2 linked regions of the Oreochromis niloticus genome follow. The protein of the gene in region 2 interacts with the protein of the main gene of each other region in a pairwise test. Links are inferred from orthologs where the notes say so. Each region holds a gene or a part of one and is shown on either strand. Other genes may lie near its edges. The genes, in order: protein ZBED8-like and mettl21a.

Region 1 (10,258 bases), on a different chromosome or scaffold from region 2:
TTGTATTACTGCGGCCCACATGCAGTACTTTTTGCGCCCCATCAGGGGGCACCAGTCCACACTTTGGAAACCACTGGAGCTGGCTTTTCTGTTTCCCTGGCGAGTATACTTTGCTTTTCGCTAGTCAAAATTAGCGTTACGTTTAATCTGTGGACTGCAGGCGCATTTTTCTAATAACAATAGCTAGTATTAGCTCAGAGGTCCCGACGTTTGCATCCTCATCAGAATATAGTCACATTTGGTCACTATATAAAAAAAACAGATAATGGCCAAAATGCTGGATCTGCGAGCCAATTAGCTTACCTCAAATCCTGAAAAACACAGTTAGCTTAACACGTTAGAGATTGCATGATTAAAACAAGCTATAAGTGATCGATACAATAAAATGAATTATTTGCTAATAAAATTTATGTCCTGTCACAGCGCTCGTTAGCGTCTGTAGCTGCAGGACATTTCAGAGGACCCACTGCACTCGAGTGCAGCACAGACAGAAAAGGTTCCTGAGTTTTAGAAAATCTCTGTTCAACTAAAAACAGTTTGAAACAGCAGAAGCAAAAACGTGAACCTGAACACTGATGAGATTAAATAATTAATGAAGCCACTTTTATGAAGTTAAAACAATTCATTCAGTTTGCTGTTTTGGATTTTTACTAAGGACAGGACACGTGACGCTACCATATCCAAAGGCTCTGCAGAACTCTTATTTCTCTCTCTGTGTCCCGTCTCTCCCTGTAGCCTAGCATCTTGTTGTGGTCCCCAAGTCTGACTCTAGGACTCCTTGTGGTTGCGGCCGTGGCTCCAGGCCTGGTGGCACCAGAGTGACCTGGCAGCATCTCAGATCCTGGGAAGTTGCTGTCAGGGCTGCCAGAGGTCTGGATTGTCTCCAGCTGAGCTCGCAATCCGAGGCTGATCTTGACACGACGCTGAGGTCACACAGAAAACAACCCAAAAAAAGAAACGGGGCCCAGCACCAAAAAAATAAAACTTCACACGTGTTAAATCTAAACAGGAGTGGGAGTAACTTTAGCGTGCCGCAATTTTGAGAATGTTTAGTCGTTGAAGATTAGGAGTCCCACGGGAGGCAGATGTAATGAGGAAAAGGAGCTGCGAGAGGAACACAGCGCCAAATGACCTCTGGCAGGAGGGGAAATGAGCGTTGTTAGGAGTTTGAGTGAATTAGCGGGGCCATTTGTATTCATGGCTATATTACAAAGGCAGAGATGGTGGATCGGGCCTCACGGCCGCTGCATGCTTTCACTGCAGTCAAAAGAAACCACCCTCAGGCCTCCTAAAGCCACGTCTCAACTCAGCGTGTCTGTGAGCGGGATTTATTTGCTCGGTAACAAGATGAACCTGTTTGAGGTATTAAGTGTTCAGGCTGCTCTGGGTAGACAGTTCCTTCCCTGATTAAAATGGGTTTTTAAGGGGGTCAAGCAGAAGGGGGGCGGGATGTTAAGGACTCTTTGCTAGCCAATGTGTGTGTGTGTACGTGTGTGAACAGCCTCTGTGTGGTCTAAATTGTAAATTGTCACCTGAGGTAACCAAAGGTGGAGAGTCTTGTTATATGTGCAGAAGGGATTTGGAAAGGGAAGCGGGGGTGGCCCTCTTTGGCGGGTAGCTCTCAGCATAGAAAATTATATAAAAGGAGGGGGTAAAAAAAAAAAAAAGAGAGAGAAAGAAAGAAACAGGACAAGGATCTGCTAATGTAATCTGGCGGCCTCCCTCCCCCTGTCCATCTGTGGGGTTGAGAATGGCGAGGAATGTGACGAGCCAATTCAGCCTTTTCAGACAGAGAGTGAAAAAAGCGCAGAATTAAAGAGAAGACTGGATCTAATGTTGAAACCGATTCATCACCTCCAGCCCTGACAGTTCATCCAAAATTATGTTTTTCATTGACAGAAAATGACAGAACTGCAATTTGGGCCCAAACGAGTACGTGATAATTTGTATGTATATGTATTTACCCATGACTGCCCTCACTTTGGCTCTTGGTGATGAATAACAATACCATATTTTACATCCTTTAAATAAGCTCATTTTAAATAGTGGAGTTATTGATCAGGTTGGTTTTTTTTGTTGTTGTTGAGAAACATAAAGTGTAAACTTTATTGTTTATCTACAAAAAGATTCCACAGGACATTTTTATCTTTTAATTTGCTTAAACAAGTCTGGTGTAATGCCCGCTGAAGGGACTTAAGCAAAGTTTGACCAATCACAGCAATGACATGTGACTAGAAGTGGATGAGTGATGAAACGTTTCTCCCACTGAAAACGTCCAGATGAACAGAATCAACCTTTTGGGATTTACTTACCTGGATGATTGAACATGCATCGAGACATTTTAAAGGACTACATCCCTGAAAAAAACAAAATGCTTATGGGTAAGTATAATGGTTAATAGAAACGTGAACTTTTAGGTTGGTAGCAGCTGAATTCAGTTTTCTTGCCCCCAATTCGAGTACATAGTCCGCTGTTTACCTTAGAGCAGTGGTTCTTAACCTTGTTGGAGGTACCGAACCCCACCAGTTTCATATGCGCGTTCACCGAACCCCTCTTTAGTGAAAAATAATTTTATTTATTTTTTTCAAATTCAAGACATAGATATGTTTTTTACTGGTGCACAAAATGAGCCGTGCATAAACATCACCTTGTTCAAAGAACAAAACCAACACAATGCATGAACTTACAACAAATTACATACCTGCAAATCAGTGTGACTTCTGCTGTTGCCTTTGAGAGACCAGTTCAGATATGCGTGGCTTCACCTTGGCAAGTGCCACTCTCATGTCATTTTCACAGAAAAGTCTGTTCCTTTTCTTTGTTTTTATGTCCAGCATCGTCGAAAAGGATTGCTCGCAAAGATATGTTGTAACAAATGGTATTAAAAAATCCAGGGCTTTCTTAGCAATAATTGGATACCAAAACGTTGAGAGCGTTGTTGTTCTGAAGAGTTGCTGTTGAACCTGGCTCTGCTGAATTTCAATGATTTCGTCAAGGTATTCATCATTGACATCTGCTGTCTCAACAGCAAACGCTGCCTCACCCATGCTGGATATGACTCTCTTAGGGAAATATCTGTCGAGAGACTTTGCAAGCTCATCTAAGTGCGTTGCAATTGTTTGCTTCAGTTCCGTGGATACAGAAATATCTCCGATTCCAGACACATCTTCGATCTTACTTACACAGTTGTCCAGAAGGGGGAAGTTTGCGAAGTTGTTGTTCTCTGTTCGCCGTTTCCATAACGTTAGCTTTTTTTGAAAAGCCTTCAGGTGTTCTTCCGCTTCTATGATATTGACTCCACCACCCTGCATCTGCTGATTGAGATGATTGAGAGCTGCGAATATATCAGCCATGTACGCTAAAATGAGAATGAACTCAGGATCTTTGAAGCAATCTGCATGACAGTGTTGGTGCTCTTGCAAAAACAGGGCTAATTCCACACGCATGGCAAAAACACGATTCAGCACCTGTCCCCGGGATAACCACCGAACATTAGAATGGTACAGAAGTACCTCGAATTCAGAGCCCACTTCTTTACACAGCTCACTGAAGATGCGGTGCCTCATAGCACTATTTCGCACATAGTTCACACATTCCACCACAGTTTTTAATACTTCTGCCATTTTTGGAGGCAAGGTTTTTGTTGCCAATGCATGCCTGTGCAAAATACAATGAGTCACAATGATGTGTGGTGCATCGGCTTTTACTAGCGCACCAAAACCAGAGTTTCTTCCCAGCATGACTGGAGCTCCGTCCGTACAAACTGCAGAAACCATGTCCCATGAAAGATTGTTGTCTCTGAAGAAGTCATCCACAAGCTTCTTCACATCGGCTGCCTTAGTTGTTGTTGTAAGAGGCTTACAAAATAAAAAATCTTCTTTTATCATGTCGTCTTTCACATAGCGCACAAAAACAGTAAGCTGACTTAGATTAGCAACGTCTGTGCTCTCATCGAGCTGAAGGCTGAATTTTGCCGGGCTTGAAATCAGATCGGCGACTACTTGAGCCAAGATGTCTTTACTCATGTCTTCTATTCTGTCGCTGACGGTGTCATTTGAAAGAGGAATTTGGGATAATTTACCTTCGGCCGCTGTTCCGAGTATCAGATTTCCCATCTTTAACGCAGCTGGTTTCATGAGTGTTTCACCAGTGGTGTGTGGCTTGCCCTGCTTTGCGATCAGGTAAGCAACTTCGTATGATGCTGTGAGGATCGGTTTGCTAACGGGTACAAATCCAAGAGCAGGCAGAGTGGGCCTTTCATCGAATCTGGCTCTCTTCACCTTGAATTCAGCAAGTGTTGTGTTCTTGTATTCCCCGTCTCCATGCAGCTTCAAGAAGTGTTCCTTTAGTTTTGCTGGTGCGAGACTAGAGTTGCTCAACTTGGCATTGCAAATCATGCAGATAGGACGCTCACTCCCATCACGTTCCGTGATACATGTGAATCCATATTGTACATATTCGTCCGACCACTTTCTTCTTTTGCCCGACATAGTATGGATTAAAATGTTAAAAAAAAAAATCACACTTAGTACTACCACGACATTCACATGTTGACTACTGCGCGCGCTACATTCCCCGCAGCCCTGATTGGCCAAGCAGTGTAGCATGATCGTCTGCAGCCAGTGATGGCCAGAAGGGGGAGTGTCATCACAAATTTACACGATAATTCGGGTGTGTCTGGACCTCTGCGAACTCCGCGGTGGAGGCTCTGCCGAACCCGTGAGACAGACTCACCAAACCCCTAGGGTTCTAGGGTTCGATCGAACCCAGGTTAAGAACCACTGCCTTAGAGTCAGGTGTCCATGTCTCTGGAGAACGCTGTAAAACTTGTCAGTGAGTCAGTGAAGCTCAATTCTGACCAAAGACAGCGATACTGAGGTGAGTTGTTGAGAATATCCGGAACCTTTCTTTTGGTAAGCGCTGCTGTCTTTGGTGCTGTTCGCTGGCGTTAGTGAAACTTTCTTTGAAGTGGGACACTTAGCGAATAAACTCTCACGCAATGTCAGCATGTAATCAAACTTAACAGAGGGAAAGTGTGATTTTGAGGACACTCGAGCCCAACATTAGCTTAGACCAGGGGTCTGCAACCTTTTACACCCAAAGAGCCATTTGGACCCGGTTTCCACGCAAAAGAAAACACTGGGAGCCGCAAATACTTTTTGACATCTAAAATGAAGATAACACTGTATATATTGTTTTTTATCTTTATGCTTTGTGTGAACAACTTAAGTGTGTTGCTTATGAAATCCATGAAGTGCTACAGAGAAAATTACATTATATTTATGTAATCAACACATTTTGAACTCTTAAAGAAATATAATAAAAGGAAAGACACCAACCTGAACTAAAATGATCCATGTAGCAAACAAAAACTGTTGTCAGCCCCACCCTTATATCCCCTTTGGGCTGTTGGAGCCTTGACCTGACTCTTAAAAAATAATTGGAAAAAAGCACTATGCTGCTGAAAAATGAAAAATAGATATTTGCAAAATTCTGCCTAAATATGTATTTTACCTAGTTAATGCGTGCGGCGGGGCGTGGTTTGCAGCGCCGCTGCAGGGGAGGCGGACGCACCTGAGCGACACCCGCAATCACGCCTCGCTGCCTTAAAGTCTGCGCTATCTGTGCTGTTGTGTTGTCGGGCTGTGAGCTGAAAAGCTACAGCCGGCTGTATGCATACAGCAACCGTGTGTGAAAAGTGCTCAATAAAGAGATGCTCAAAAGCATGCTCATGGAAACATCGTCGGGTCTGCCGTGATATGTTTACAATGGGACTTCTGCTCCTGAACCTCTGCGCACAGAGTCCGCAAATCGGGGCTATACAAAGTCAGTTTACGCAGGACTGTAAGCTGTCATCTGTCAGGCGTGAACGGTGTTTGTCTTTAACATAGTTCACGGTGGAGAACAGCTGCTGACATAATGTGGATCCGAAGATCCATAATTGGCCTACCTGGGGTTGAAAGTCTCGATAAATGCACGGCGTTTCGGCGGGTATACCGGCTTCCGCGAGTGTGACTCTTATTTTGAGCGATGAAAAAATAATAGAATATCATTTTATTTTTATATTTCAATATCACAATAATCTTCCAATTTAGAACTACAAGTTAAAAAGAACTAACATAAATAAAATACACTTCAGCTAAATACTTCTAATTTATTTGCCCAAACCAAGCGGAGCCGCAGTATAAGGACTAAAGAGCCGCAGGTTGCCGACCCCTGGCTTAGAGGATAACCTTTTATCCAAATACCCACCTCTTTGCTCGTAAAATAGCCCCACCCTCTGGTTGCCTGCACAGGACAACCAATCTCCAGAGAATTGCATTCCAACTTGGACTGACTGCAATCACTCCCAGACAGACTAGCAACGATTTGCAAATAACTACTGACTCTAGGGATGTGCGATATGACCAAAATCTCATATCCTGATGAGACATTTATTTTGCCATGTTTGAGTCTGAGGTGGGGGCCGGTTTGCGGCATAATTTCCATAGTACAGTTTTCTGGTTCGTGTCAGACTTTTCATAACCAAACCATGTCCATGCTACAGAGGTAGCCCCTCGTTTAGGAATAAAGTCCTCGATTTGTTTTGACTGGTCCTTCTGTTTGGAGCCAACTGGCTCTGCCTCATCTTCACTGGCCATGCTGGGATTCTCTGTCCCTGCATCCATGTGGTTACTATAAGCGCCATTTATCATTACTTCATGTTTTCATTTGAGGTAATTTGTTTGATGCATCTTCTGAAATTTGATGTTTGACAATAATGTATATCATTTCAGTTTATTTTGAAAAATCTCAACACGATCTTCAGCTTTATTGTGAAAGGTTTATGTGGAAAATAAACAAGCGGACGGCGAAGCCACACGCCGGCTTTACCGTTATTGTTGCTAATGACAACGTGTAAACACATTCGCTTGTCCGTCCGTAGTGTAATAAATAATAAATACATAAAAGAGAACTTTAAGAAATTAACATAGCTACTACAGTGACCATCAAAACCGTGAAAACATATTCACGTAAACAGTTTATTTTGCGACACCACGAAACAAACAAAAGGGTATAATATGAAACGATAGAGGTGTTCATATTATCATCCGATATATATCGTTATATCGAACAATCCTAACCCACTCCTTTATAAACACAGACAGATTGGCAACATGTTGCCAATCTGCACCCACGAGTACAGCTCAGTTATATTGCTACATTAAAGTGAGGCTGCTGAGTACCTGTGTCTTTTTGCAGTTATCATCACTAAGTATGGAGGAACGTCTGAATTGCTCTTTCTAATCTACAAGGTTCTGGTTGGACTCTGAATGTCGTTGCTATTCTGTCCATACAACTGCTGCTTTTGGTTGGAGCTAAGTGGGTTAATAATACTCACCATTTCATCATCTACTAAATGTATTTGCTGAACTTTATGTAAAAGGGCCTTTGGAGTGGTTCACTAGTGAGATCTAGTGTTACTGCAAGTATCAGTGTCCTCGAGGGTATAATAATGTGTGCAGAAGTATTAATTAGATCCTCCAAGACTAGTAAAATATTTTTTATAAAATTGTGATCCTCGCCACGATGGAGGTTCAGTGTTACATTACAGAGAGCACGCCAACGCTTCTCAATCCTCCACGTCCACTCTAATTGTACATTTATATTTTAAGCATCTGGCTCCAGCCCCAAACTACTTCCAGTGAGTGCAACAGTAAAAGAAGCTCAATAAAATACTCAATCGCCAGCAGTTAACGTCCCCATAGCCCAATATTAATCACCACTAATGAATCATCTGCTTTTATTAACCACAGTTAGAGCTCTGTGAAGATGGCAGAGGAGAGGAACGCTGCTCTGTGGCTTATCAAACTTTGGCTGCCGCGACCAGTGTTCCCACTTTGAGCCGAGCAGCCTGGCTGGAGGTTTTGGCAGCAGAGAGCAGAGAAGCCAAAGGGCTGACTACAGCAGAGCAGCAGGGAATAAAATGCCAGAACTACTGTACCTTGTGGTGTCACTCTGCTCTACTGTAGGCTGTACAGCTTGTGCCACGTTGCACGCCGTGTATAGTGATATGTAGAGTTCAGTTCGTAAGTATGTGGACAGTTACTTTTCATTTTGTGCCTCAGGCCGTTTGAACTGAAGCATCAGCTCCTCTGTTTCAGTGAAGATTCTGCTTAAGTTCAGCAAGGAAGATCTGTAATCAGTCATCTGCTTTCCTGGGTGTTCGGCTGCTTTTCTGTTCTCAGCTTCACTTGAGTGAGGGGAGGAAGCACTGAGACACATCGCGTCCTGGCCCTGGAGTGCCTATGGGTCTACTACTTACTACTTAAGATTCAAGATTCAAAGCGTTTATTGTCATATGTACAGAAGAAATAGCATTTCTCTGTGCAATGAAATTTTTCCTTTGCTGTCCATACACAAATGCCAAGGTGGGTAAGGGTTAAAAGAACAAGATAAATAAAGAGAAATATGGATAAAAATAAAGGAAGATAAATAAATAAGTACAAAATAAGTAAGGGAAGACAAGTGTGGTATGCAGATGTCGATGTAGATGGATGTACAAGAATAGAATAGAATAGAATAGAATAGAATAGAATAGAATAGAATAATCCTTTAATTGCCCCACAGGTGGAAATTTGGTTGTAACAGCAGCCAGAAAGACACATATACAAACAAACAGTACACAGGACACAGAACAGAAACATACACAAGGAGCTTAATGTGCAAAATGAACTTAGTGTGCAAAGTGTCTGAAGTGCAAATTGCAGTTGAGGTAGGTCAGCTGTTCCGGAGTGTGATAGCAGTGGGGAAGACGGAGTTGTTGAGTCAGGATGTTCTGGATTTCACACCTAAACCTTCGTCTGGAGAAGTGTGAACAGTCCGTGGTGGGGCTGTGTGGGGTCTTTGAGGATGGAGGCAGCGCTCCTCGGGACTCTGCGATGGTAGATGCTCTGCAGAGAGGGCAGCTGTGTGGTGTTTAGTGTCCAGGTGAGGTCCTCGCTGATGTGGACGCACAGGTACCTAAAGCTGCTCACCCTCTCCACTTCACGCTCAGGGATAAGCAACGGCTGGTGAGGCCTCTTCTTCTTCCTCATGTCCACAATCATCTCCTTTGTTTTATCAGTGTTGAGGGTGAGGTTGCTGTCCTCACAACATGACACCAGACCGGCATTCTTAACATTTCCTATGTTTAGGCAGGAAGTCCATAAAGCACCAAGACTAATCAGGTGCCTCTACCTGCATTTGTTGGACACTAAGGTTCAGCTGGCCAAATCACCAGGTTGGCGTCATCGCTTTCTTGCCAAATCTTGATCTTGGTTAAGGATCTTGTCAAATGCAACAGCTAACGTGCTTCTCATCCTGCGTTGCTACTGCAGTGGCATAGGTGTTATGGAAAGTTTATATAAACGCCATTTTGGATCGCTTGTGAAAATCTACCAGGGTGAAGATTTTCCAAAACTCCATTTTTGCATTTACATGTGGATATGGAAAATTGAGATTTAATTCCACATCTTCAAAGGTGCCTTTAGCTCCTTTTTTGATGTCACATTATGTGCCATGTTATCATTTGCAGGTTTTTGATTGGCAACATTTCTTCACAGTGTGCATTATAGCGCCACCTGTCGCTCTGCCATGAACTTGAAATAGCTTGAGATCATTTCTTGAGTTTTTGTGTTTCAAATCAAGCGAGGAAAAATCCACATTTAAAGAAATGTCTGTGTAAGTGTGGAAATAAGAAACCTAAGAATCCCATGTGGCAACATTTGCTGTCCTTGGATAACAGCAGGTCCTATAGCCAAGTGTCAGTATGTGGCGTGCTGGAGTGAATGTGGTGCATACATAAGTAGACACATTGTGTTTTTATGTGTATCTAATGATAAGAATCAGGCTGGATTTTTGCAATAGCTACATTTATGCTTTCAGGCATTAGGCCTAGTTCACATTTGTGCTGCCTTTTACAGCGAGCATCAGCTGAGACAACACTGCACTCAGTCAGCAGCAACCCACAAACCAGCTGCTACAATCAGCAACCGTGCAAGAGCTAAGAGACGCAGGATCCTCAACAATAAAAGAAATGAAAACTCTAAATGAGGAACACAGCTCTCTCAAAGAAAAGATCGCTATCCAAGAAGATGGGCATGAAACAAAGGTAAGACAGCTCCATAACAACCTCACACAAAAAGACGAGGTCAGCGAAAAATCTGTGAAAAACCAACACCTCGGATGAAAGCGCACGCTGGCCTCCTCCACTGCGAGAAAAGAAGTAGAATGGAAC
Region 2 (10,796 bases):
CTTTTTCTACATGCTGTTACAGTGGTGGATGCTCATGTTAAACAAGTAATCCCTATGAGTGAGGTTTTTTTTCCCCCCTACTGTTAGATCCTATGATGTCATAGAGATGGAATATCCCTAAATGCACAACTCTTGCTGCACGTGTCAAAGCCCCATCACCTGCTTTTCAAACCTGTTTTTCAGGGATGGCCAATCAGCAAAAAGGCCACATTTGATGCTTTGATTCAGACCCTGTTTAATGTTTCCAACATTAAAGAACAGTGTTAAGATTATCCTTGACCTGTACAGACTTAATGCAGTTTAGAAAACCTGTGGATATTATGAATGAATGATGTTAAGTCCAGTATTTTCCTTCTTTTCCTCCTACAAAAACAATATTTGTGATATGACAGTTTGTGTGGAGCCACATATCCAGTAATGTTTACAGTATTGGATGTAGGAGAACAACACAGAAAGCAATTGGTTAAAAATCCTAATGCACAATTTTATCCTTCTGCAGTTGCCATTACCCAAGGTGGAGCCATTCAGCTGGCCAATAATGGCACGGATGGAGTGCAGGGCCTGCAGACGCTCACCATGGCCAACACTGCTGCAGCCCAGCCTGGCGCCACCATCCTGCAGTATGCTCAGACCAGCGACGGGCAGCAGATCCTCGTGCCCAGTAACCAGGTGGTCGTGCAAGGTGGGAAAATGGTTTCCACAGTGTTTAGAAGTGAAGTTACACTAAAACTGTATGTATGTGTATGCATGTGTAATGTATATATAGATACGTGTGTGTGATTTACATTGCTGTGCTCGAGAGCCACCATCTACCGGAACCAAATTCCTTGTATTTGTCTGCACATATACTTGGCCAATAAACACGATTCTGATTCTGAAACTACACGATTTGTAAAGCTTTGCTGAATAAAGCACTGACTGTTTGTCTATCTTTGTTCACCAGCTGCTTCTGGTGATGTCCAGGCCTATCAAATCCGCACAGCCCCCACTAGCACCATCACTCCTGGGGTGGTCATGGCAACTCCACCCACAATCAGCGGATCAGGAGCCACTGAGGAAGTTACACGCAAACGGGAGGTCCGACTGATGAAAAACAGGTATGGCGAGGTTAATTAGCAACTCGTACTGAATTGCTTCTGTAGGTGTGAAGCTGATGTGCTGTACCTTCATGTACCCACATCCTCTTGTCTCACAGGGAGGCAGCCCGCGAGTGCCGTAGGAAGAAGAAGGAGTACGTGAAGTGTCTGGAGAACCGCGTGGCCGTGCTGGAAAACCAGAACAAAACCCTCATTGAGGAACTGAAAGCCCTCAAAGACTTGTACTGCCACAAATCAGAGTAGAATACACCTGCCGGTGGTTTGACAGGTGATCCCCAGCACTTGTGTACAGAGACTCAGCACAGAGCCATGCATCTGGATGCCCCCTCCTCTTTTCTACTCTTCTGCTTTCTTTTTAAAAACTGCTGAAAAATATGTGAACGTGACTCACCAGGTATGAAAAAACAAAAAAAGCCCCATCCCACTTTGGTAAATTGAAACTTTGTCCCATTTGAGCAATTTGAAATCAACCATCAGTTTTCCCCCATTAAAAGGATGAGGCGGTGCTCACAGTGAACGTGGAGGAGACTGCAACTTAAACAGGGTCTGCGTGGCAAGGTGACAGAGCAGGGAAACTAGCTGTTCTCGCCAAGGACACCACCGAAGGGAAGCATTCCAGTCACTGGTGCCCGGACTACCTGGGCAACATCACCAGCAATGGGGGAACTGACCGCAAGCACCACCGATAATGATGATGATGGAACTTTTTCTTTTTTTCTTTGGGAGAGTGTAACTTCACGTAAAACATTTCTATCTGTAACTCTCGAATTAACATCTGTTACTTATTAATGCTTCAAACTTATAGGTGGCCTGTGTCTTGGACGTTTTTATCTTTTAAGATGTGTGTTTTGGTTTGTTCTGAATTAGATTATGCTTCTACAATGCCATGTTTCTTTTTTTCTTTGTTTTACCCAAGTATATTTTTGCTTTTATACAACGTGAACAAAAAGCTAACCATTTAGTTGTAAAATGGTTTTTTTCATGTTAACTGCAGCACAGTGAGGAGATGGTAGAAGTTGGGCAGCAGTGAAGTGGGTGGGGGGAGGGTCTTCTAACAGAGCCCTAGAAATGTTTGACTTTTTGTCTTCATTTTTTTTTAAGCTTCAGAAACATTAAGTGGAAAATTGCGTAATGGCGTCCTGTTAATTACCAGAGTTTGGTGGTAAAAACAAACAAAGGCAAAATGGGCCTTCAACAGTACAGGAAGTGGGAATAATGGATAAATAAGCTGCTGCCCGTTTATCAGAGATTATATACTGTAAGCAAAACCTTTTTTTTTTTTTTCCCCCTCCATAGACTCATGGATTATTTTTGAACAATAACCAAAAACTTAATGAGCCTTACTTGTTATGCAATGAAAGAGTTTTTAAGCAGAATTCAGAGACAAGTGGATAAAGCACTGGAATCATGGAATTAGATCATAGGGGGAAATTTGCCATACCGGGCCCCTCTGTGTGTCGAGGCCTCGGTCGCCGTCTCTTAATTCTGTTTATAGTTATGAGCTAGCATGTGCACTTTCTTTGCATTTACAATCCTTCAGCATTTCAACGCTTTCTGGGTAAATCTACCGCTCATCTGCAGTTAATCAAGTGCTGTTGCATCAATGTGTTTGATCACTTGTTTTTTTTTTTTGTAAATGGAGCATCAAAGCTCACCAGATACAACTCAACTGCACCCACTTTGTGAAATGACTATAAGATCAGGTGGTGTTGGTGCATTCTGAAAGAAAAAATATTTTTGTGATAATGGGATGCCATATTGTATTCTTTAGGTATTATGTATAGTCATGATATAGTATGCTTTTTATGTTGCTTCTCATTTTTTTTTTTTTTTGTATTCACTATTTCTAAATGTCAGCAACAACTTGTATAATAATACAGTGCATTACGTTAGAGCTATTCAGATATGACACTTTTGGCAGCTGTTAATAAATAAATGTGTTTCTGGTAATCTGATTTTAAAACATTTTATTTCATATATTAAAACAAACAAATGTTCACAAGTCTCTCCTCTGTGTCAGTTTGCAAGCCTTGTATAGGTGTATGTCTCTTTGTTTGTCGTAGTGGACTTCTTCGACGGTGAAGCGCCGCTTAAGCATGCCTAGGAAGTTTGTGTCTCGCTCATAGCGGAGCTTGCAGGCCAGTAACACCACAGTGGTGTCTGAGCTCAGGTGCTCCAGTGTTTCCAGCAGAGGCAAAAACGTGTCTTCCAGGTAAACGATATCTGCACCCAGAACCACATCAAACCCTCCGGCTGGGTATTGCTCGAGGCCCTCGCCCCAGGTCAACTCGGAGACCACCACTGATTGTTGGGAATCTGGGGGCAGGTTTGCTTTCACGTTGGCGGAGAGGAAGTCCAGCGCAGGCTCTCTGTCAGTGATGGTCACTCTGGCACCTACGGAAGGGTTAGAGTTGTGGGACTATCACAGCTTTCCTTGTTCACCTGACGCGCACTCAGAAGGCTTTTTGATAGTGCTGTGAGATACTGCAAATTTTGGTATCGGTCTGATACATAGTAAATACAGGGCCAGTATTGCTGATATCAATATGGATACTTTAAACCTATTAAGGGAGATTATGTAGCGAAGAGTAGCGTGTCATGATTTATGAGATGAATCCTGAACGAATTTTAATGACCACTAAATCAATTTCATTTTAATTTTCCACGATAATGAGTTAACACAACAAAAAAACAACTTCAGTTTTTGGATAAAGGTGGGCAGATTAACCCAAATATCGATGGTATTAATATCCTTCGATACCAGCACAATAGGATCGATACATACTGTGACGTCTCTGTGATTTAAAGCCTGTAGCAGCACATTTAAACAACTTAAGCTGACCTACAGTGTTTTAACACATGCACATTTAAATTCAAGGTCTCCAAAAAACTCCTCAAAATGTGTTATATATGTGTGTATATTTTTCATTATTTTATATTAATTTATTTAACACAGTTCTTTTGTGTACATACAGAACTTAAAGGTTTGAAACAAAGTGCTGATCCTTTTCGGCTAGTATCATTCTAATACCAATAGCAGCATTGGTACTGATACTACTGATATTTGGAGTGATCCGCCCACCTCCAGTTTTTTGGTGGTTAGTAATTATGCACTCACCCAGCAGAGCTGCTACAATGCCCACCAGACCAGTGCCAGCTCCCAATTCAATTGCTTTCTTCCCCTTTAGCTCCACTTTTCCCAGCTCCAAGTACATACACATGACCACCGCCTGGGCAATAACACATAAATGCAATAGTAATGTATATATCTAATGAAACATGGAGGAATTATTGAAGCTAAGCACTGCTGCCACTGTTGTAACGTACCGCATCCCACACAACTGCCGCCACACCGAGCTTTTTCCAGTCCTGAGCGAGTCGGAGGTCGCGGTTGGCAAACCTAAACTGTGCTGATGAATTGTGGAGTTTGGAAAGCGCGGGCAACGGGTTTTCTACATATGGAACGAGAGCCATGCTTTGAAATAAATAAAACTACACTCGTTTACACATGCGCAGTGCGTTCCTCCTTCTTCGACGCTTTCCCTCGTACCTGGCTGGCTCATTGATTCGTTTCCGCCATCTTCTGGAGTTATTATATAGCTATTATTTCATTCGTTTGTTAAAGAATGTTCTTACGGTATATGAACCAACTTTTAGCGTTGATAGTTCTTCTTCTTCTTAAATGTTATTGGCGGTTGGCAAAGTGTTGATAGTTTGCTTATTTTCTTTAATAAATACTGAAGAGCGAGAGACCTATTCGCTTTCAAGCAACTGAAGACGGCAACCCGTGTTGACGTCAACGAACAAATTTAGCCAATCACGTAACAGCTCAGCTAAAAGTGACCAATGGGAAAAGAGTAAGTCTTTGTGATGGGCGTGTCTGCAAGATTTTCTTAACGGTGTTGTCAGTGATTGTTGATCAATGGTCATGGGAATTTGCATAATTATGATTAAGGAACTGACCTCACAGCCCATTGTTCCTTCAGTGGGCTGGTTTCAGTCATTATGCAAATGTACTGTTTATAAGGGTTGGGGAAAACTGCAGTCAGCTGAGACTGAAGAAGTCACTTGGATGAGTGACGAAACGTTTCTCCCACAAAACGCTACGTCCAGATGAACAGATTCAACTTTTGGAGATTAACGGTGTTGTGTTTTAGCTAAAATCGAGGGGGGCGTGGTCTGAAAAAAACCCAGCAGGTCTGTAAAGGTAGCAACACATAGCAGCGATGTAGCTTCCGGTGTACTGCAAATAAAGGGTTTTTGATCTGCGTGAAGAGACTCTGTGCTGACAGTATAGACATAAGAAATAAAAAAGAAAAAAAAATACATATTTTCATCGAATATGAAAAGGCTGCACAGTGGTGGATATTTTCTTAGTAAGAACCTGCCACCACTGGCATCTATTGCAGCTACGGGTCCATGGCAGCTATCTATTGATAATACTGAAAATAACTGATGCACAAAAAATACTGAAACATGCCTTGGTTGAGTAAATTAGACAAAAATGAAAACCTAGTTGTTGAAAAGGTTGTTGAATTATTACATGCATGGTGTTTTTGAGCAAAGATTTGGAAATAAATCTGAAATAAAAATAAATAGATAAAACAAGAGAAACTTATGAAAACTGTATTGAAATGGGCTGTTGCTTAAATTATTTTAAGACTTATTATCTTTTATAGGTGTCTGTTAAGAAAGAGTGTTCAGCATAAACGTTTTTATTTATATGAACAACAAATCATTTGAAGTTTTCTTTTCACTAAGTTTTTTATTTTATTTTTAATTCAACAGCTTACACTTTTATTTTATTTTAAGCAGACAGCTTGAATAGGTTTAATAAATATTTTATTAGTTATTTTCTATCTGGTTTTTTTAACAGTTTCACACGTGCTTTTGATGTTACCACCAGCGGACTTTTACTTTGAAAACCCAAAGCAGGAAATTACCTCTGAACTTACCTGCTACGGTCGCTTTGACATCTAAAGCTTGTGTCCCGCTAGTGCGACGAGATGAACGCCACCTCCGGACACCTCTTTGATATCCGCTGGCCGTTCACTTTCCCCGTTTCCTCTAAAAACCCTTCCGGCTGGTGAATTCGCCCGGTGCTCTCGCTGAAAGGGCCGCAGCGGTGACACAGACTTGAGCCGGAGTGAAAATGGATTGAGTCACGCTGCTGGAGGAGCCAGCAGTGGACTGAGGTGCGGAAGCTAGCGTTAGCCGGCTAGCCATGGAGGGAGGCAGAGGAACGGCTGACTTTGTCTCGTTAGACTGTTTTCCGTAAAATGACTTGGTAGCGGTTATTCTCAGCCCAAAACCATGCAGCCCACGCACGCAGTTCATATTAAAGTGCGCCACCCGTGAGTTGCGCACACACCCTGAATATGTCAGCCGTCCTGCAAATACCGCAGATACCCACTTGGCTGTCCTTGCATAGATCCCGTTCTGCTCTGAAGCGAGATCGTTCACTTTGCAGCAAAAACACAAGGGCTGTGCTGGTCCACAACATGCACATTTTCAAATAATCCGAACACTTCCAGGTTGTGATTGAACCTGATCTCGCCAAGGCAGAGCAAAACTAGTGTTTTATGTACATTTCCTAACAACCCCTTGTAAGGTTTGGGTTAAAGTTCTTGCAGACCTTCCTGCAGCTTCAGAATTGCCAGACTAGCAGGTGGTCTCTCCCCAATTGTATGGAAAGCGGCGCTGGCTGTTGCAGGACTTTTGCAGGTCAGCGATGGGAGGTTCGGTGTCCTGCTGCATCTCTCCTGGAGAGAGCCCCAAGATTCACAGGAGAGAGCTGGAGCTGGAGGAGTGTCCCATCACTACTACCGAAGATGTGAGCGAGGACACTGGGACGTATCTGCAGCACATCAGCGACAGGGAGCTTCCAGATGGTGTGTGAAGATTAGTTTGCTATTTTTGGAGATGTGATTGCATGCGGTGATGTTGCCCTGTCCTGGTGCCGGTTTACTGCAAGTGGTAAATGTATTTGTATAGCGCTTTACTAGTCTCTAAGGACCCCAAAGCGCTTTACACAACCAGTCATCCACCCATTCACACACACATTCACACACTTCAGTGTGATTCAGTTTAAATGTTTTACATGCTTTAAGAGCCGTTTAGCATTAAATCAGCAACAGGGTGGCAGCTCCTAGACAAACACTGTAGTCTTATATGAAGACTTTTAACACTTTCCTTCTACAGAGCTGGCCCAAGAGGCCAACCCATCCGACCACCCCAGAGCAAGTACTCTATTCCTCAACAAGTCTCAGACAGATGGTCAGTATTTCTCTAATGCTTTAATATTTTACCCCATTCTCTTCTGAAACTCCTACATCTCTTTGATTTTGTTTTTTATCCAATTTCAGTCCGCGAGAAAAGGAAAAGCAACTACATGAATCACGTAAGTTACGGCTCTGTGTGTTCTTCATGGGTCTTTTTGTTGCTGAAATGACTCACAATCATACATCTCATTTCTCTGGGGTTGAATGTGTTTCTAAAACCCGTTTTTCCCTCCATTCTGTCTCTAAACATTGTCACGCTTTCGATGCCAGATGTCCCCGGGACTCCTTTCTAAAAAGTACAGCTCGTGTTCAACCATATTCCTCGATGACAGCACAGTCAGCCAGCCCAATCTCAAGAGCACCATTAAATGGTAAGTGAGCGACCTCACCTCAGTCCTGCTGCAAGCGCAAGTACAAAAGAAGTTGGGACGCTGTGTAAAATGTGAATAAAAAACAGAGTTCAATGGTTTGCAAATTCCACAAACACAGATTTGATTCACTTTAAAACATTCTAAACTTATCAGATGTTTATTTTGAATTTGATGGCAGCATCACGGCCACGTTTAACGCTGTGTAGCATCCCCTCTTCTTTTAATAAAAGTGTGGAAACTAAAGAGAGCAGCTGCTGGACATTTGAGAGAGGAATGATGTCCTGATATAAGATTCTAGCTGCTGCTTTCAGCTGGTGAAAAGTTCAGCATCTGGACTTCTCTACCAGGAAGTCATGCTCTTGTAATACATGCAGTATGTGGTTTAGCACTGTCTTACTGAAATATGCAAAAACTTCCTTGAAGAAGCTCTCTGGACGGCAGCATATCTTGCTCTAAAGCCATATTATGCGTTTCAGCATTGATGGTGCTTTTCCAGATGTCCAAGCTACCAATTCAATAGGCACTGATGCGCCCCTCGTACCATCTTAGAGGCAAGCTGGATGGTTCTGCTCCTCTTTAGTGAGATTTGACCCCAGCAGTGTTTCTGGATCATGTTCACATATGACGTCTTCTTTGGATGATAGAGCTTAACCCCCTTTGTGGATGGCATGGTGAACTTTTAACAGTGATTTGTGGATTTTTTCCTGAGCTCATACAGTAATTTCCATAACAGAGATATTCCTGTTTTTAATTCAGTGCCACCTGAAGATCACGGGCACTGATTTTTAGCCTTGTCCTTTGTGCACAGATATTTCTTCAGATTCTGTGAATTGTTTAGTATCACTATGTACTGAATATTATTAGATATTCAAAGTCTCCTCATATGCACATTATTCTAAATTTGTTCCCCAATTTGTACATAGGTTTTTGGGTTTTTTTGGAGATTACTAAACCTTGGCCCATCTTTACTTCTGAGAAACTCCGCCCCCTTTAAGATCCTCTTCTTATACACAATTATGTTACTGACATGTTGTCAGTCTACTGTTTAATTATTTGCCAAATGTTTCTGTTTGTTTTTCCTGAAATGCAGGTAACTTTTAAAGTCGCCAAATAGCTGCAGTTGTAAAGATCTAAATATCTATTTGTAAAGTAGAAGTAAAAATAATTATTTTTAAAAATAAAAAGCTGTAAAAGGGAAAATCCAGCTCTAGTGTTTTATTCTTTGTTGATTTCTGTCTCTTGCAGTGTTGCACTGGCCATATACTACCACATAAAAAACAGGTAGGAAATGTCAGAAGTATTGTCTCTTGGTAGTGCAACGTTTTCTTCATTGTTGTAACCAGTACTTCGATATTTACAAACATTTACAAAGATATTTACAAACATTAGTCATCAAGTTTGTAAGAAAGACTGCTTTTAGTACTTAGGCTAATTTTTAATTACTTCATCTAAGTCCTATAGGAAATGCTACTTGCCTTGTCTTATTGCTAAATACATCATGCATGAATGACAGACGTATGCAGAAGGTGGATATCATCTTAAGTGCCAGATGGGTACAGCTTTTAAAGATCATCACTGGTAATGAGAGCCAGAGATTTAGCTCTGATTAACAAACAAACCAGAAGGTGGCTTGCATCAGGTCAGAATTGCAAAAGAAATTATAAAAAAAAAGAGATTGTGATTGCTTTTTTAAAATTAACAGTTTTTTCCATCTCATGTCTGCCCATAATACGTTGAACATTGAGTTCTCTGTTTGGATCATCTCAGTTTGAAATGAAATGTATTTGCATTTCAAATGTAGTAACTGTCAAAACACGACTTTAGGGAAAGTAGGAGCTACTTTCCCTAAAGTCGTGTTCTTGGAAGTGATCCAAGGATGCAACTTTGGCCATAAAACTCCAAACCGTACTTGACCCAAATTAGGCAGAGTCACAGCACTTGGTGGTGGCAACTCAAAGAATAGATACAGTGTGGTGAAGAAGTATTTGCCCCTCTCTGATTTCTTAGTTTTTTGCATATTTGTCAAACTTACAGGTTACAGATCATCAAGCTAATTTGAATATTAGACCAACATAGCCTGAGTAAATACAAAATACAGTTTTTAAATGACTTTGTTTATTAAGGCAAAAAAAGTTATCCAAGCCTACTTCATCCTCATAGAATAGAATAGAATAGAATAGAATGCCTTTATTGTCACTATACAGTTGTACAATGAGATCATCCACTCATCCTGTGTGGGGAAAAAAGTAATTGGCCCCACTTGATCCACAGAACATGGATTGGATCCACAGTGAGAGCCATTATCCAAAAATGAAGAAAAATTGGAACAGTGGCGAACCCTCCCAGGAGTGACCGGCCTATCCAAATTACTCCAAGAGCGCAGCGACAGTTTCACTTTTGGGTCGCAAAAACCACCAAAACAACATCTAAAGAACTGCAGGACTCACTTGTCTCAGCTTAGGTCAGAGTTCATGATTCAACAATAAGACAGAGACTGGGAAAAAATGAAGAGTGGAAGAGTTCAAGGAGAAAACCACTGCTGACCAAAAGGATCACAAAGGCTCGTCTCACATTTACCAAAAACATCTGGATGATCCCCAAGAAAATATTCTGTGGACTGACGAGACAAAAGCTGAGCCTTGTGGAAGGTTTGAGTCCCGTTACATCTGACATAAAACTAACAGCATTTCATAAAAAGATCATCACAACAACAGTCAAACATGGTGGTGGTAGTGTGATGGGGCTGCTTTGCTGCTTCAGGACGACTTGCTGTAACTGATGGAACCATGAATTCTGCTCTCTACCAGAAAATCCTGAAGGCGGATGTCCAACCATCAGTTCATGGCCTGAAGCTCAAGAGCACTTGGGTTATACAGCAGGACAATGATCAGAAACACACCAGCATGTCCACCTCTGAAACAAAAGAAAGTTTTTCAGCGACTTAATCGAAATGCAGATTTAAATCAGATGGCATTACTTTGGCGTGACCTTAAACAGGCCGTTCATGCTAGAAGACCCTTCAGTGTGACTGAATTAAAACAACTGTA

Evidence for each region.
Region 1: the proteins of mettl21a (region 2) and protein ZBED8-like interact in binary tests that used the Homo sapiens proteins (3 or more experiments, as listed by UniProt). The two-hybrid records come from large-scale screens. The link is inferred for Oreochromis niloticus from reciprocal best matches to the Homo sapiens genes METTL21A and FAM200C.

What each region holds. Positions count from the first base shown.
Region 1 is NC_031981.2:3,365,172-3,375,429, forward strand, and holds protein ZBED8-like, read right to left. Parts: upstream 4,621-10,258; 5' UTR 4,608-4,620; coding exon 2,709-4,607; 3' UTR 2,702-2,708; intron 2,554-2,701; 3' UTR 2,539-2,553; downstream 1-2,538.
Region 2 is NC_031986.2:22,783,701-22,794,496, forward strand, and holds mettl21a (protein N-lysine methyltransferase METTL21A), read right to left. Parts: upstream 4,895-10,796; 5' UTR 4,572-4,894; coding exon 4,425-4,571; intron 4,328-4,424; coding exon 4,216-4,327; intron 3,492-4,215; coding exon 3,094-3,491; 3' UTR 2,372-3,093; downstream 1-2,371. Other genes in the region: cyclic AMP-responsive element-binding protein 1, read left to right, coding at 500-682, 944-1,097, 1,196-1,340; cyclin-Y-like protein 1, read left to right, coding at 6,829-6,988, 7,299-7,373, 7,463-7,497, 7,649-7,749, 8,995-9,030. UniProt on the Homo sapiens protein: Protein-lysine methyltransferase that selectively trimethylates residues in heat shock protein 70 (HSP70) family members. Contributes to the in vivo trimethylation of Lys residues in HSPA1 and HSPA8.